Notamacropus eugenii: one gene and its partner. The protein of the gene in region 1 interacts with the protein of each later gene in a biochemical or structural test. Links are inferred from orthologs where the notes say so. Each region holds a gene or a part of one and is shown on either strand. Other genes may lie near its edges.

What was found.
Region 2: the proteins of NGF (region 1) and NGFR form a complex in vitro, tested with the Homo sapiens proteins (2 studies listed by BioGRID and IntAct, with this or other methods). The link is inferred for Notamacropus eugenii from reciprocal best matches to the Homo sapiens genes NGF and NGFR.

Annotation. Positions count from the first base shown.
Region 1 is NC_092873.1:294,751,337-294,758,730, reverse strand, and holds the start of NGF (beta-nerve growth factor), read left to right. Parts: upstream 1-4,377; 5' UTR 4,378-4,610; intron 4,611-7,394. UniProt on the Homo sapiens protein: Nerve growth factor is important for the development and maintenance of the sympathetic and sensory nervous systems.
Region 2 is NC_092873.1:351,342,403-351,349,691, forward strand, and holds the start of NGFR (tumor necrosis factor receptor superfamily member 16), read right to left. Parts: upstream 3,020-7,289; 5' UTR 2,885-3,019; coding exon 2,843-2,884; intron 1-2,842. UniProt on the Homo sapiens protein: Low affinity receptor which can bind to NGF, BDNF, NTF3, and NTF4. Forms a heterodimeric receptor with SORCS2 that binds the precursor forms of NGF, BDNF and NTF3 with high affinity, and has much lower affinity for mature NGF and BDNF.

The sequences.
Region 1 (7,394 bases):
GGGAGAGACAACAAGTAATCAGATATACAGGATAAATAGGCAATAATTAATAAAGGTAAGCCACTAGAATTAAGAGGGATTGAGAAAGGTTTCCTGTAGAAGGTGGGATTTTAGCAGGGACTGGAATAAAGCTAGAGGAGCCAGGAAGCAGAGATGAGGAGAGCATTCCAGACAAAGGGGACAGACAGAGAAAATGCCTGGAGCTAAGAGGTGGAGTATCTTGTTCAAGGAACAGCCCTGGCCAGTGTCACTGAATAGAGGAGTAGGTAGCTGAGAGTATGGTGGAAGAATACTGGAAAGGTTAGAGGAGGCAGGTTATGAATGGTTTGAACCCAAATAGAGAATTTTGTATTTGATCCCGGAGGTGATAGGAAGCCCCTGGTTTAAATCCTGGCTCTCACAATTAGTGGCATCATGGGAGTCTAGCACTTGTACCATACACCTCACAGGGTTGTTGTGAGCAAAACTGAGGAAACCTTAAAGGACTGGCTAGATGTGAACTGTGATGATGATGATAAAGGAAAATTGAAGACACTGTAATTTAACATCAGCTTCAATCCCCATTCACACTCTCGTCATGTATATCCACATGGCTTAATAAAATGAATTTGTATTTGGAAGGCTTTTATTTTGAGTACCAGTGTCATATATTAGGTGAGGAATTTTAGATCGTTTACCCTCAGTGAAGCTCATTTTCTTCATCCATAAAGGGATAAGGACAGGACCTGTCATTTCACTGGTATGAGAAATTCCTTCTACTTTATAAAATGGTGCCTTCACTGCGGCTGGTGGTCTTAGAGAATTCCTTAAAATACTGAGAGGTTAATGATTGGCTCAGGGTCCCACCACCAGTAAGGATCAAAGACAGGACTCCTAGTTCGGAGGCTGGCTCTCTCTATACATCATGCCACACTCTCTTCATCTGTAGCCTTGTATTAATAATGCTTACATTATTTTTTCCTCATAAGATTGTGGAAAGGATGAAATAAGAGAATATTACCCAATAAGTAATTTACTTATTCATTAATGTGCTTCACAAAGAGCAGTGGATTTGAAGTTAAAAGACTTCAGAAGAAGTAAAAAGTTCAAATGCCCACTTTTACCTTTTACTACCTGTGTGACTTTTGGCAAATTACTTAAACTCTCTGGTCTGTGATTTCATTATCTGTAAAATGAAGGACTCAAGATTAGGTAAATTCCAAGGCCCCAGGTCTGAATCTATGCTTCTAAGGGACAGTAAAGTTATACTGAATAAATAGGAACTCTGACATGAAAAATTGCCTTTAGTTCTTTAGACTCCAGACTCTGGAAAAAGTACTGAGTATCAGTACCTTAGTTTTTCCAGCTGCATAATGGGACACTTGGGCTAGAATTAATTTGAAAGAAATTATAATTTCATTCAACACTCTCATTTTAGAGATGACAAAAGTGAGACCCATAAAAGTATAATGCCTTGCCCACCATTACAAGGCAGTAAACAGTATAACTAGGATGCAGATTCATGGCCCCAGGCTCTGGTCCAATCAAATCCCATCCAATAAATACCTCCCTTCTAGGCTAATGTCAAGTACTACCACCTCCAAGAAGCCTTTACTGCTCCTTTTCTCAAATCAATTTGTATTTATTTTGTATTTATTTCAGATCATTTTATCTATGGACATCTTGTTTCCTCCTATAGAATGTAAGGGTCTTCACTCCACTCATTCAAAAATAATTTATTAAACCCCCATCATGTCCCTATATCAATGAAATCACAGGTCTAATTCCTATCTTTATTCGGATGTGTCAGGCACAGGACTAGACAGTGGGAATACAATGGGACAAACAAAGCAGACTTTGCCCTAATTAATTTTATGTTGGGGGAGGGGAGATATATATCAAGTAAATGAAAGTAATTTCCAAGGAGGAGGAGACAGAGAAATAAGAATAGATTTCCCACAGTACATCACAATTTATCTGAGCTTGGAAGCTTGGAGTTGTGCTAAGTAGAAATGATGAGGAAGAGCATTACAGGCATGGGTAACAGCCTGGGCAAACACAGAAGGGGTGGAAATGGAATGTCATTTAGTTAAGAAGTATAGAATAAGACTAGAACAAAGACATTATGAAAGGTGTCCTTGAGGGTAGGGACTGTTTTGGTTTTGTCTTTGTTATCTTTAGCTATCCTTAGTTGCTTAAAATAACAAAAATAATGAAGTCATAGCTGACATTTATATAGCCCTAACTAAGTGCCAGGAGCTCTACTAAGTGCTTTAAAATTATCTTATTTAAACCTCACAACAATCCTGGGAGGGAGGTGCTATTGTTATCTTCATTTTACAGATGAGGAAACTGAGGCAAATAGAGGTTAAACAATTTGCCCAAAGTCACATAGCTAAGTGTCTGAGGCCATCCACTGTTATCACCTGGCAGTGCTCAGCACCAAGGACACAAAGAAAACACAGAAAACAGTTGCTACCCTAAAGGCACCCTTGAGTCTCCTGATCTGACTCCAAATTGAGGGCCCTTGCCACTGAATACAACATTGTTTTGCTTTTTGGTACCCCTAGTTTCCAGAAGCTAGAAAGACTGAGGTAAGCTCTGAATCCCTCTCCAGGCTTTGGTCACTATCCCAATGCTTTCCTTTCTTCATCAGCATTGCCAACTGGCCGTGGAGGCACCAAGGTTCAGCCTTCACAGGTGGGCAGGTTAGGATAGACCTGATCCCAAAAAGCACCAGAGAAAGCCGGTGAACGATCAAAGATGTCACTTTTCCTGAGGTCTCAAGTTTCCTAGCTACTTCAGTGCGCTAAAGGAAACCCCTTCCCTTTATGCCCAGTACCAGAAAAGTCTGTAGCACCACGGTGTGACAGGTAAAGGGTCTCGGGAGAGGAGAGCACTTCGGCCCTCCCTCCCCTTCTCAGACCTCATTGGAGCTTCTGAGACAGAATTGCAAGACAGACCAATCAAAAATATCTCCACCACCTGCAGGAGGGGAGGGGGAGACAGAGAGAGAGACAAACAGAGACAGAGAGACAGACAGAGCGATACAGAGACACAGACACAGGGAGCAGAGAGAGCCACAGAGACAGAGACACATATGGCTAGTAGTAGTATGTCCTTTTGCTGTACTTCAACAAGGCTATCTAAGGCGACCCCCTTGCCCCATCCACCGACCGATCTCACAATCTAACAGTCTGTGAAGCCAGGATTGAATACGACTTTTTTTTTTTTCAAAGATTAGGATGAAATAGAACTCCTAGAGGCCCCGCAGTCTGTGGGGGCAAGGTGGGGGATAACTGGCCCGTTCACACTAGTGAAAACCAGGCACAGCAGTGGGTGATGTGCCAGCAGGCCCTTGGCACGGTCTGTGGCTCTTGACTGAGCCACGTGGGGCTTTGTTGCGCCCAGGCAACAGACCAAACCCCCTCCAACTTGGCTTTCAAAAAGAAACTACAAGGCATAAATTGGGGGTTTAACCAAGAACGCTATACACACAAAGCGACAGAAGGAGCCTAGAAAGGAGTGTGGAGAACAGCTCAAAAGAGAGGTTTGTCGAGTAATTGGGCTGCGGGCCAGGTCTGAGGTGTATGTGTGTGAGCCAATAGGGGGTGTCACTCTAGTTAGAGGCAGAGGACCTATTCCCTTCACCTGGGCATTGGCCGTCCCTGGCAAATAGACTGTGGCCATCCCTCAGTCGCGCCTTTGCTTGCTGTCTCTATGTCTCTCCCAAACTCAGGGCCTCTCTTCCACGAGTTTTATAGTCCTGGCTAGCAGCCCCTGCGTTAGGGCTCCATTTGGGACCTCCGTTTAGTGGGAACACCCCTCAGGGCCTGGGTCTCAGGGTCTCTCTCCTAGGGAGCAACCCCGAAATGCCGGGAAAGAACTCAACCTGCGAAAGTCAGAGAGGTCTGCAGAGAAATGCATGCCCACCCTCAAGGCTCAGGTGGCCAGAAGTTAGCAAGCTGGTCGAGGAGGGAGGGGGCCACCAGGAAACCAGAAAGCTTAAAAAAATATACCTCCGCCCTCCCCAAACACAACGCCTAGCGCTGGGTGCCTCTGAGAGCCTCGGTCTCCCAAACCTGTGTGCAATCCCTTCACCCCCTCTCCTTTTTTAGAGACACTGCCTGAGGTGGTGACAATGAGAGATAACGACTCCTCTCCCTTCTGGAGCTTCCTGGGGCTGGCACTGGCCTGGGATCGATCAGTCCTCTTAGTCTCGGAACCCTGTACTAACCCTGCGACCCTTCCCCTCAGGAGCAGACAACGCTTTAGAGTCAGGCAGAGCAGGTGCTGGGGTGGGGGTGGGGGCGGGAAAGGGGGGGTGGAGGAGGTTTTGAGCAGCCTTGAAAGGGGAGGGACTAAAATAAAAAAATGCTAAGGAGGAGAGCGAGAGCCAGCCACTCCAGCAGAAAGCGCTGCGAGCCCGAGGGGAGCTGAGCTCGGAGTGAGTCAGGACTGCCCCAGAGCACCGGCACTGCAGCGCACGGGCAGAGGCGCACACGGCGAGGACCTGGGGCAGGGTGGATGGCTGTGTTCGCCTGGGACAGTGTCTACGGACGCGGGTCCAGCGAGATCTCCGACCCTCTGGGCAACCCCTAGGCTCCGGCATCCCGAGGCACGGCCCCAAGGTGAGTGTCCCGGGCGGCGCTTTGCCGCGAGCGCGGCTTGGGAGCCGGACTGGGCTGGGGGTACGCGGCTCTTGCCAGGCTCAGATGGCTCCACGGTGTGCGCCTTAGCTGCGCTCCACACCGCGAACCCCGCAGGCCCTGGGAAGGCTTCTCTGCGGGCACGCGGCGCCTGGGGAGAGAAACCTGCAAGTGAAGGAACCGATTTGTGAGGGGTGGGGGCGGGGGCCACTGGCTTTGATCGCGCGGAAGGCTTGGGAGAGGCAGGTACGAGTGTTTTGCTAGCGAGTGCATGAGAATGGGCAGTGTCCGTAAAGTAACCCTGCTGCGCTAAAACAGAGAGGTCCTAGGGGCTCCCCAGGTGAGGCGAAAAGCTCAGCTCAAAGCCCAGAAATCGGCTTAACGCTCACTTTCTGGTCGCCCTCTAGCTTTTTCCACAGATGCAGTTAGGACCCTGAGGGATCAGGTCTCTCGCCTCCTGAGCTCATGGACTCTGGTGGCGCCCAAGGTCAAAGGCTCAGTTCTGGGGATGGGAACGCTTGATGTGCGGTCGAGAAACAGAGTAGGGCTGGGCTTCGCCAGGCTTTTCATTTTAAAAAACGCCACGGGCTCCTTCAGGTGCCTGGAAGGGATAGCCGAGGCTTCAGCTCCTCCTTCTTGGGACATCCTTCCCTGCCGGGTGTTGCCAGGTGCAGGGGAGTCTTGGCTGAGGTGGCACCACCTTCTTCAGCTAAAGCCAGGAGGACAGAAAGAGGGAAAGAGAGAAGACTTCAGGGTCAGGCAACAACAGCCGAGAGTAGTTTAAGTTCGGGCCGACTGAGGCTGTTCTTTTCCTTAAGATCATAACTCCCAGATTATGATGAAAAGAGCTCGCTGCTCTAACTTTCTGTGCTCCTAAAAAGTGAGATAAAAAAAAAAAAGATCTTGCTTGCCGGGCTGGTTTTTCCAAGTCGTTCCAGATTGGAAGTTGTAACAGTTTGGAGGATAATTTATGGGTGTTTCAGGAATTAAAGTCTATTACAGCAAAGCCTTTTGGGTGCTTGGGGTATTAAGAGAAACGAAGTACACGTCCCAGCTGGAAACAAAAGAAGTCAAACCTTCACTGATCCTATTCTCAATATGTAATCTGAAGTTAAGGAAATGACTATCAGTTGCTCTGCGTATGTCCTCAGACCCGCACTCACAGACTAGTGTATCATGATCCCTACTTAGGACTCCCAGTTATGGATGAGGGAGCTAGATTGCACTGAGTGATAACCAAAAGCCAGAAGCAACTTCTCCAGAGACTCTAAACCAAGACTATTCAGAGATCGGCGACATCCCCCCCACCTGCCCCGGGGGTAGGAATTTCTGGTCGCGTTCAATTCTGTAACCATTTATTGAATGCCTACCATGTGCCAGAGACTGGACAACGCCCTGATCTTATAATCTTTTCCTTAATTCTGTCTCTCTCCCTTTGTCAGGTGAACTCTTAGACTCCCAAATGAGCAGTAAATTCAGCCAACCTGATGGGCCTCTTTTGTTCCCATGGCCAAGTATCAATATAGGAAGTTCACATTTCATTTCCTAGCCAGGGGCTATTGATGAAGACTGTAGTTGTCTGTCAGCAGAAAAAATAAAAATAAAATAAAACACCCAATAACAAAAAGACAGGGAGGGACCAGGCATGGAGGAAAGGTGTATTTCTTTTTCTGGACTTTTTTTTGGAGTCCCAAAACTCTTGTAAAATTCAGAGGCCTACTTTGAAGTGAGGGCTGATTATCAGCCTTTTTCCTTTCAAATCACCGAATTCCCACTGATATTCCCTACATTTTTATGCTGATGAATTCCTGATAAAATAACAGTGGAGAGCAGACTTGAAATGGATGAGATGTCTCTAACGGGTGATCTGAAGCCTGAAGACTGTGTTAAGTGGGGTTGGGAGCTGGGAAGGTGATAGGGAAACCTTGCTGACAAGATTTCCTCCCCTTTTTTCTTTTGGGGGATGGAGTTAGTTCAATTTAATTCTATGAACAGTTGTGAAGAAGGTTGATGCAATGAAAATGATCCCTCACACTTATTACCTGTGTAACCTTGGGCAAATCATTTAACATCCACAATCCTCAGCTTTCTCATCTAAAATGCAGGGGCAGGACAACATGACCTCTGAGATCCCTTCCAACTCCAGACATCTTATCTGACTGATTCTCATGACTGACACTCTCTCCTTATTTCCACCACCTGGATTCCCTTCCACTTTCTAAAAGAATCATTTCCTAATCCTCCTCAATGCTTCACTCTGTGGATTATCTCCCATTTATCCTGTATGTCTCTTGCTGGTGCATAGTTGGTTTCATGTTTTGAGAACAGTGAGGGTCTTTTTTATTTTTCTGAGCACAATGCCTGGTATACAATAGGTGCTTAATAAATGCTTATTGACTGACTAATCCTATAAACCCTTGTGCAAGGCCCTGAGCACAGAGGAATAATACTATCTCCTTCTCTGCCCAGTCCCTTCAAAACAAAGGAACCATACCTCCTCCTTCCAACTTACTTTAACCTGGGGCATCTCTAGTAACCCTTCCTTCCTCATCACTTCTGGGAAAATGAAACTCCTTTCCCTAGTCTTTTTATTCCACCCCGAATATTCCCAGTGAGCACTGTGGGAGCAGGGGCAGGTTCCAGACTCAGATTGATGCGGTTGTTTCCCACGCAATCCCTTCAGTACTGGACTGAGATGGAATTGGGAGTCAGGGCAAGAGGAAGGCCCCTGGCTTCCAGGAGGACAGGAGAAGAGCCTGAGGAAAG
Region 2 (7,289 bases), about 57 Mb from region 1:
AGCTACCTATCTGACATGACCTTTAGCTTCTGATTCATATCTCCCCTCTAGTCTCAGAAATCTGGGAAATAATTGGTCTTTTATAGCAAAAAATTCTTCTCCTGGACTCTTCTCTGCCCACCCAGTTCCCCCAGACATCTGTCATCCAGAGACGCCCAGATAAACCCCAGAGAGAGGAGAGATAAATAGGCCCAATTTTTCTCAACCTCTGTTCACAAGATAAGTTAATCTTCTAAACTAGAGGTTCTTAACCTGAAGCCGATGGACCCCCTAGGGATAGATTTGGGGGAGGGAAACCATGACCTGAATGAGAAAAAAAAACCTCCAAATAAAAATTTTGCATTTCCTTCAGTTTTTTAAGAAGGTGATTCTAAGAAGGGGTCCATGGGCTTCACCAGATTGTGAAAAGCATTCACAACACACCCAAAAAGCTTAAGAACTCCATTTCTGGTTAAAGCCTACAGCTAGATAGCCGAAGAAGGAGTGGTCATTGGGAGTGCCTGGTGGTAGTTCAGCCCTGATCCTACCTCAGCCCCACACCTAGGTCAGATCTGGCCATTCTCGGGGGGGGGGGGGGGGGGGGGGGTATTCCTCAGTCACCCCGATGACACTTACCACCACCTCCCTCAGACGATTCACTCCCGCTCCCCCCTTCCAGCACTTCAGCCTCAAGATCAATGCCATCTGAGCCATACAAAACAAAGTGCTTTGGGAGGCCCCAGGGAAAGTGTGGTCTCAGGCATTCAAAGCCTTTCGTGATTTGGCCACACCCACCCCATAGGGTCAATTTTGCAAGAAGGTAACCCTGCGAGTGTAGTTTCGGGGACCAGGCCAATTGAAGGTGCTTTCTTGTAGAGTCTGAGAAGAAATCCTCACCTGCCTTTCTCTCAGCCCCTGTGCCTGATTTAGAGCTATCAGAGCCTGATTCAGAGTGGGCACCTAGGAATACAGACTAATCTGACTGTCCCGCTCCATAGTTCCAATAATTGCTGGACTGGGGCCCCTTTGTGGGGGACACGCTGACCTTCACCTCAGACAGCTCTCCCCATGACTCAGCAAGAGAGGGATCCAGAAGATCCTGACATCCCACCCCATCCCCAGTCCCTGGCTAGCTTTTCAGAAGCCAGACATCCCTAGGTCCGATTTCTCTACTCTTAGAGAGGACGCCTCGGACCCAGAAATCCAGTCGTCAGCCCAGTTGGTCTTCTCTCTCTTCTGTTTCTCTCCCGGCTTCTTTTCTATCCCCCAGGGACCAGGGCTTTGCCCGGTAGAATGCCAAGCTTTCCCTCCGCCCCCACCAACTCCCAAGATTAGGAGCAGAGTAGACTCCTGAGACTGTTAAATCTTTCCCGCAGCAGGCAGCGGAGCCCGTTAGGGGAAGGCGGAGCTAGTTCAGATAGCGTGGAACAGAAGTGTGCGGGACAAAGTTGTAGGATTTGTAGACTGGCTACACCGAGCAGAGCAGGACTAATTTTTTAGGGAATGAATGGGATGGGATGAAACGAGAATGGACTGCAGCGGCTGGGGTTGCCCCATTTTCACTCTCCCCTGAGCGCCCTCTCTTGGCCACCGACCTCCCGGGTTCGGCACTTTATTCATTAAACCCCGGGAGCCAGATTTAGCTTGTATCCCCCCAGGGAACCCACCTTATTTGGTGCGTGGGACAATTCAGTTTCTCTGTCCTTTACTGGGCACCCGGACAACAGGTCAAGGAATCCCCTTTCTTTGCCTCTCTTTCTGCTTAAAACCAGCTTGTGGACGTTACCCCCTAGCCCACCACCAGGAAGGGCTCTGGGAAGCTCACGCCAAATGGGAGTGGGAGAAGAGAGTTGGAAGGATTTCGAGAAGAGTGACCGGTGATGCCCTAAGAGAACGGAGAACTCGGGCCCCAATCCCCTCTCCATCTGCAATCTCCGAGCTAGGTATGTCATAGAGGAAAATTGTCCTGACTAGCTCCCATGCTCTTAGTTTCTGATCTCACCTTCAGCCTTCTGGTCCTACCCATTTCATTGCTCCTTCAGCCCCCTTCTCTGTTCTCTGCCCCCACTTTTCGGCTTTCCTTTCCTCCTTGCCCTCCCCTGCTCCATCACTCTTTTCATGAACCCCCTTCTTGCTTATCTGCGCCTCCAACGCCCCTTCTCTGTAGGCATCCGGTTTCGTTCATTAGCGCATCCCCCTCCCCTCCCCTCATTGTCCTGCCCTGTCCCTATTGTCGGATGTCCCACCCTCGATACCTTCTGCCTGCCCTCAGCCCCCAATTCCCGTTCCCCACTGCCTCTACTGAAGCTTATCGCTGGAGCCTGCTCCCCCATTCCGTCTGTCCCGATGCTCAGTTACCCCACCCACCCCATCCCCTTCTCCACCGCTCCCTTGCTTCGTTGGTCCAACCGAAGCTCCTCTAGGTGATCCAGGCGTCGGAATACCCTCTACCTTAGCCAACCTACTCCTTCCAGGGACCGAAGAGTCGGAGCACCTCTCCTATCTCTCTCCCTTCATGACCCCACTCCAGGGACCAAAGCGCCCGAGTCCCCTTCTTGACTAGCTGAACCTCAACACCTCCCTCCGCTTCCGGAGAACCCAGGCATCTGAGTTGCCCCCTTCCTCCAAACACGCGCTTCTCTAAGAGACAGGCATCCCAGTCCCTTCAGGCATCAATGTTCTTCCAAGGTTCCTCGGAAAGACCGAGGCGTCGGTCCGAGTCTCTCCCACACTATTCCAGCGCACAGTGGCCCTGGAATTCAAGTTCTCCCTCCTAGCGTCCTCCCCTCTAGTATCCGCGGGCTCTGCTCGCCCTTCCAGCCCCAGTGCGTCCGAAGAGAGGACACCTCCCATTTGAACTCACCCCCAAGAGCAACAGCAGCAGCAAGCGGAACGACCCTTCCATGGCTGGGTAGGTGGACAAGACCACCCTTGGGTGCCTGGTGGCACCTCCCTCCCTCCCCCACCCAGCTTCCTTAGCTCAGTCCTTCTGGTCCTGCTTCTGCACTCGCCAGGAGCCAGCCGAGGCTCCGCTCCCTCTGACTGCTGGCAGGAGGTACTCGGGAGAGCCAGGGCTACGGCCCCGCCCCCTCCCCGCCCATACCGCCCACCCGTCCGGAACAGTGACTGCCCCGCCCCGCCACCCCTCAGTCCCGCTGCCTGGAGTGGGGAGGGGAGGGTGCAGGGGAGACCCGGCCATAAAGCCGAGCTGCTCCTCCATCACTCTCCCCACCTCCCACTCCCACCCCAGCCCTTTACAACCCATCCCCTGTCCCGAGCTTCCTCTTTCCCCGTCACCAACCTGTGCTGTGTTTTCAGGGCCTCTCTATCTCTCTCCTACCCTGCATCCCTTGGCTTCAGTTCTGTCTCCTTGTCGCTCTGCCAATCCTCTATTCTCTCCCCTTGTTTCGTATCTCAGTATCTACTTCTCTACAGTCCCTCCCTGCCCTTTCCTCTCTGCCTGTCCTCAACCTGATGTTTTTCACCTCTTTTCTGTTTATTTTTGTTGTTGTTGCTCTCTCCCCACCTATGATTAGAGTCGTCCCCCCTTCTCCCGCCACTCGAGGTCTCTTCCTCCCCACCTCCTGGGCAGTCACTTATCTACCTCCTGGCCCAGGCAAAAGCTCCGTTCTCTCTCTATGCAAAGGCCTTTCTGGAAGAAGGCAAGTGGAAATCTCTTGCCCTCCCTTCCTCAGTCTCCCTTCCAGGATGTAGTCGGTCATCTGAATTCTGAGGGAGAAGAATGGATATAGGGATGGAGTGGATCCCAATGATTGACTGAATTCTGTCTTTGCTCACAGCTGGGTCGGTTCCAGAAGTCTAGCGATCAGACATTGCCTTTGTCCCTCCCTCAAACTATACACATTCAGTGACACACAGGTGAGAACCAGGAATCACCAAGTAGGCATTTACACCCCTGAGCTACACCAATCTGGCCCTAGGACATTAACAGGTATTGAGGCTCCTCTCCTCTTGCCCTTTCCAGCCTTTTTAAGCCCTTGTGATAAAGGTGGGGCCAAGCTAGGGAACCAGTAGGACAACATGAGGACCAGCTCTTCACCAGTGACTCACAGAAGCTAGAATCTAAGAGCAGCATGGGACCTAGTCTGACCATTTTACAGAGGAGGAAGCTGAGATCCAGAGAGGCAAAACAACTTGCCAGTTGTTGCACAGCTAATAGGACTCACATTCCCTTTTCAGTTGGGGTTTCAAAGGACAAGAAGTCTTGGTTCCTTTGTGCTTTTGACACTTGTTACTGTGCTAGTTTATTACTTGTGGGACTAGTCTTGCCTTCTTAAAGGGGAGAATTACCCCCCCTCTTCTTATCCCCCTCACATGCTTTCATTTCAATTTCTGCCTACACAAAATGACATTAGCAATCTTACCCACCCTTTGCTTGAGGTAGGTACTATGGGTATAATTATTCCCACTTTTTGAATGAGTAAAACTGAGACTTAGGTTAAGCAACCTGCCTATGGTCACACAACTTGTGTCAGAAGCAGAGTTTGAATCCATTTTTCTGATTCCAAGCACATCGTCACATGATGAAAGGAACTCAGAATCCCTGGGGAAAGATCAGTGGAAACAAGAATTAGTTTCACTGGCTTTTCCAAGCACCAAATTTATTGATGGGAGGATTAAACTTTTTCTGTTTATCGTTGTTCCCCCCCAAAAATATTCCACTTATTAATGGGCTTGATTCTCTGAGCCAAAGGTTGGAGGATAGAATAGATAAACCTTCTTAAGGAAGCCCTTCATGGGTTTAAAAAAGGGAAGGAAAATTCTACTCCTTCTTTCTTATTTCTAACAGATGCAGCTGTTCCCCCTTGTGTTACTCTTATGGGTATGTTGTTCCTGTCAGTGGATGAAGTATATGGGAAGTTATGAAGGATAGGGAATGTTGTTGTTTAGTCATGTCTGACTTTGTAACACCATTTGGGAATACTGGAATGGCTTGCCTTTTCCTTCTCCAGTTCATTTTAAGATAAGGAAACTGAGGCAAACAGGGTTAAGTGACTTGCCCAAGGTCACACAACTAGTAAGTGTCTGATGTTGGATTTGAACTCTGACTCCAGGGCCCACACTCTATCCACTATGCCATCTAGCAGTAGTGTGAGAGTACGACATTCATACTGACCCAATAGCTAATATCAACAGTGTCATCAACCATATTGACAGTATAACATTAATTTTAATACTGATTTTCACAATCAACAAGTATTTATTAAATGCCTACTGAGTGTCAGGAAGTTTATTCAGCACTGGGGATACAAAAACAAGAGTGAAAGAATTCCTGCTTTCAAGGAGCTTACCTGCTAAAGGGGAAGAGATCATGAACATATATAAGTATTTATAGAAAAGAAACAAAATGAATACAAGATGATATGGAGAGAGAGGGTCATAGCAACTAGGGGCAGAGTTAGGAAAGGTTTCATGTAGAAAGTGGCGTTTGAGCTAAATCTTGAAGGTGACCAGGGATTCCAAGAGGTGGAGGTGAGGAAGAATTACATTCCAGAAATGGGGTACAGCAGATGCAAAGGCATGGAGCTGGGAGATGAAGTGTCCTCTGTGTGAAATAGCAAGTAGGTGAGTGTAGGTTGAGTGCAGACTTCATGGAAAGAAATAATGCATACTAATTAATAACACAATATAATATGACATCATAACACATATTACTGCTGTTCATAAGAGCACAGAATCATGGATTTAAAGCTTGAAGGGACCTTGGAGGTCATCTGGTCCAACATCTTAATTTTACAGATGAGGGCCTGTGATGTTGTTGTCCCATTCTTTGTTTTCAAAAAGGACATCATGGGGTGATGTCTTGACTTGCAAGTGAATTGGATTTAAGTGAAGCAGAGTTGCACAAAATCATCATCCTCACTCTTTTCCAGTCACCAAAGTTGAGTTGCAAGACAAAAGTCAAGATGTTTCTGACCCCAAGATGCAATGGATAACCTTGGAGTCTTCAATGTCTGACCAAGCTCTTAAGTGCTCCGCAGTGCCTCCTTCAGTCCTCTTCATGGTCGTTGGAACAAATTGTTCTCCTTGGCCCATTCTGCCTGGGGAAGTTTTCCCATGATAAGAAAAGGGAATTCAAGGACCTAAGGTCACACAAGTAGTTAGAGGCAGTCTAGCAAACCTCCATTCCTCAAAGGTATTTCCAGTGGAGTCATGGAGAGAGTCATGTGTAATTGAATATAACCTTAATGTGTTCTACTGAAAGATTGTTTATTGTTAATAACAATAGGAGGTAATTTTTATTATTATTTTATTATTATTAATAGTTTGGATAACAGTGCTCATTTAAGCAGTAACATAATTTTTATAGATATTATTATTAGGAGTATTATATGGGAAAGACAGCTTGCCACAGTAAATAGAGTGCTGGACTAAGAATAAAGAAGATGAGAGTTCAAATTCTGCCTTTGAGAATTATTATCTGTGTGACTGTGGGCAAATCACTTAAGCTCTAAGAATCTTGGGCAACTAATACTATAAATTATCAAGGGACTATAATCCATACTGGTGGAATTCTCTTGTAGTGGAAATTACTCATAGACTTTGAGAACTGGAAAGGGATCTTAGGCATCATCTAATCCAAGGTCCTAATTTTATGAATGAGGAAACTGAGGCCCAGGAATACAAAGTCATATAACTAGTGACAGAGTCAAGATGACAAGCTAGATTTTAGCACCACCAGTCTTGTGATCAGATCTAAACCAAATTCATTTGTATTGACCCTTTATATATTTTGTTACCTATTTATTTCGGGAGCTCCCGGTCTAACAGCAGAGGTAGGATCCCTAAATTTTTGTTCAAGTAGCATAGTTCAATACTTTAAGGATCTATGATTTCATGAGTGTGGGATCCTCCTCCACTGATACAGATCACAACTTATCCACACCTTAGGAAATGATTTCAAGACTGGCTCATACAAAAAAATTACATTCCATGGAAACCAGCTTTTGGTGATGAGAGTCTCCATATTTCCTTAGGTCCATTGATAGCAGGCACATTCTGTCATTGGTTTTATACCAGCCTTTTAAAGTTGCCATCAGTTTATGGTCCACTAACACAGCTTTGTGAGACCAGAGTCACATCTAAAGCATCAAAGTAGAAATTAAGGTATAGGGAAATATTCAATGATACAGATAGATTTACCCAGAGGTAGCATGTTATTTATAATAGAAAAGGGAGATCTGGTTTTAATATTTTCATAGTTTCATCATTTCTAGACCTAGCTCAGATTCTTCTCTTTCCTTCTCCAGGCAGCCTTCCCAGACTCTTCCAATCCCATTACAGATCAG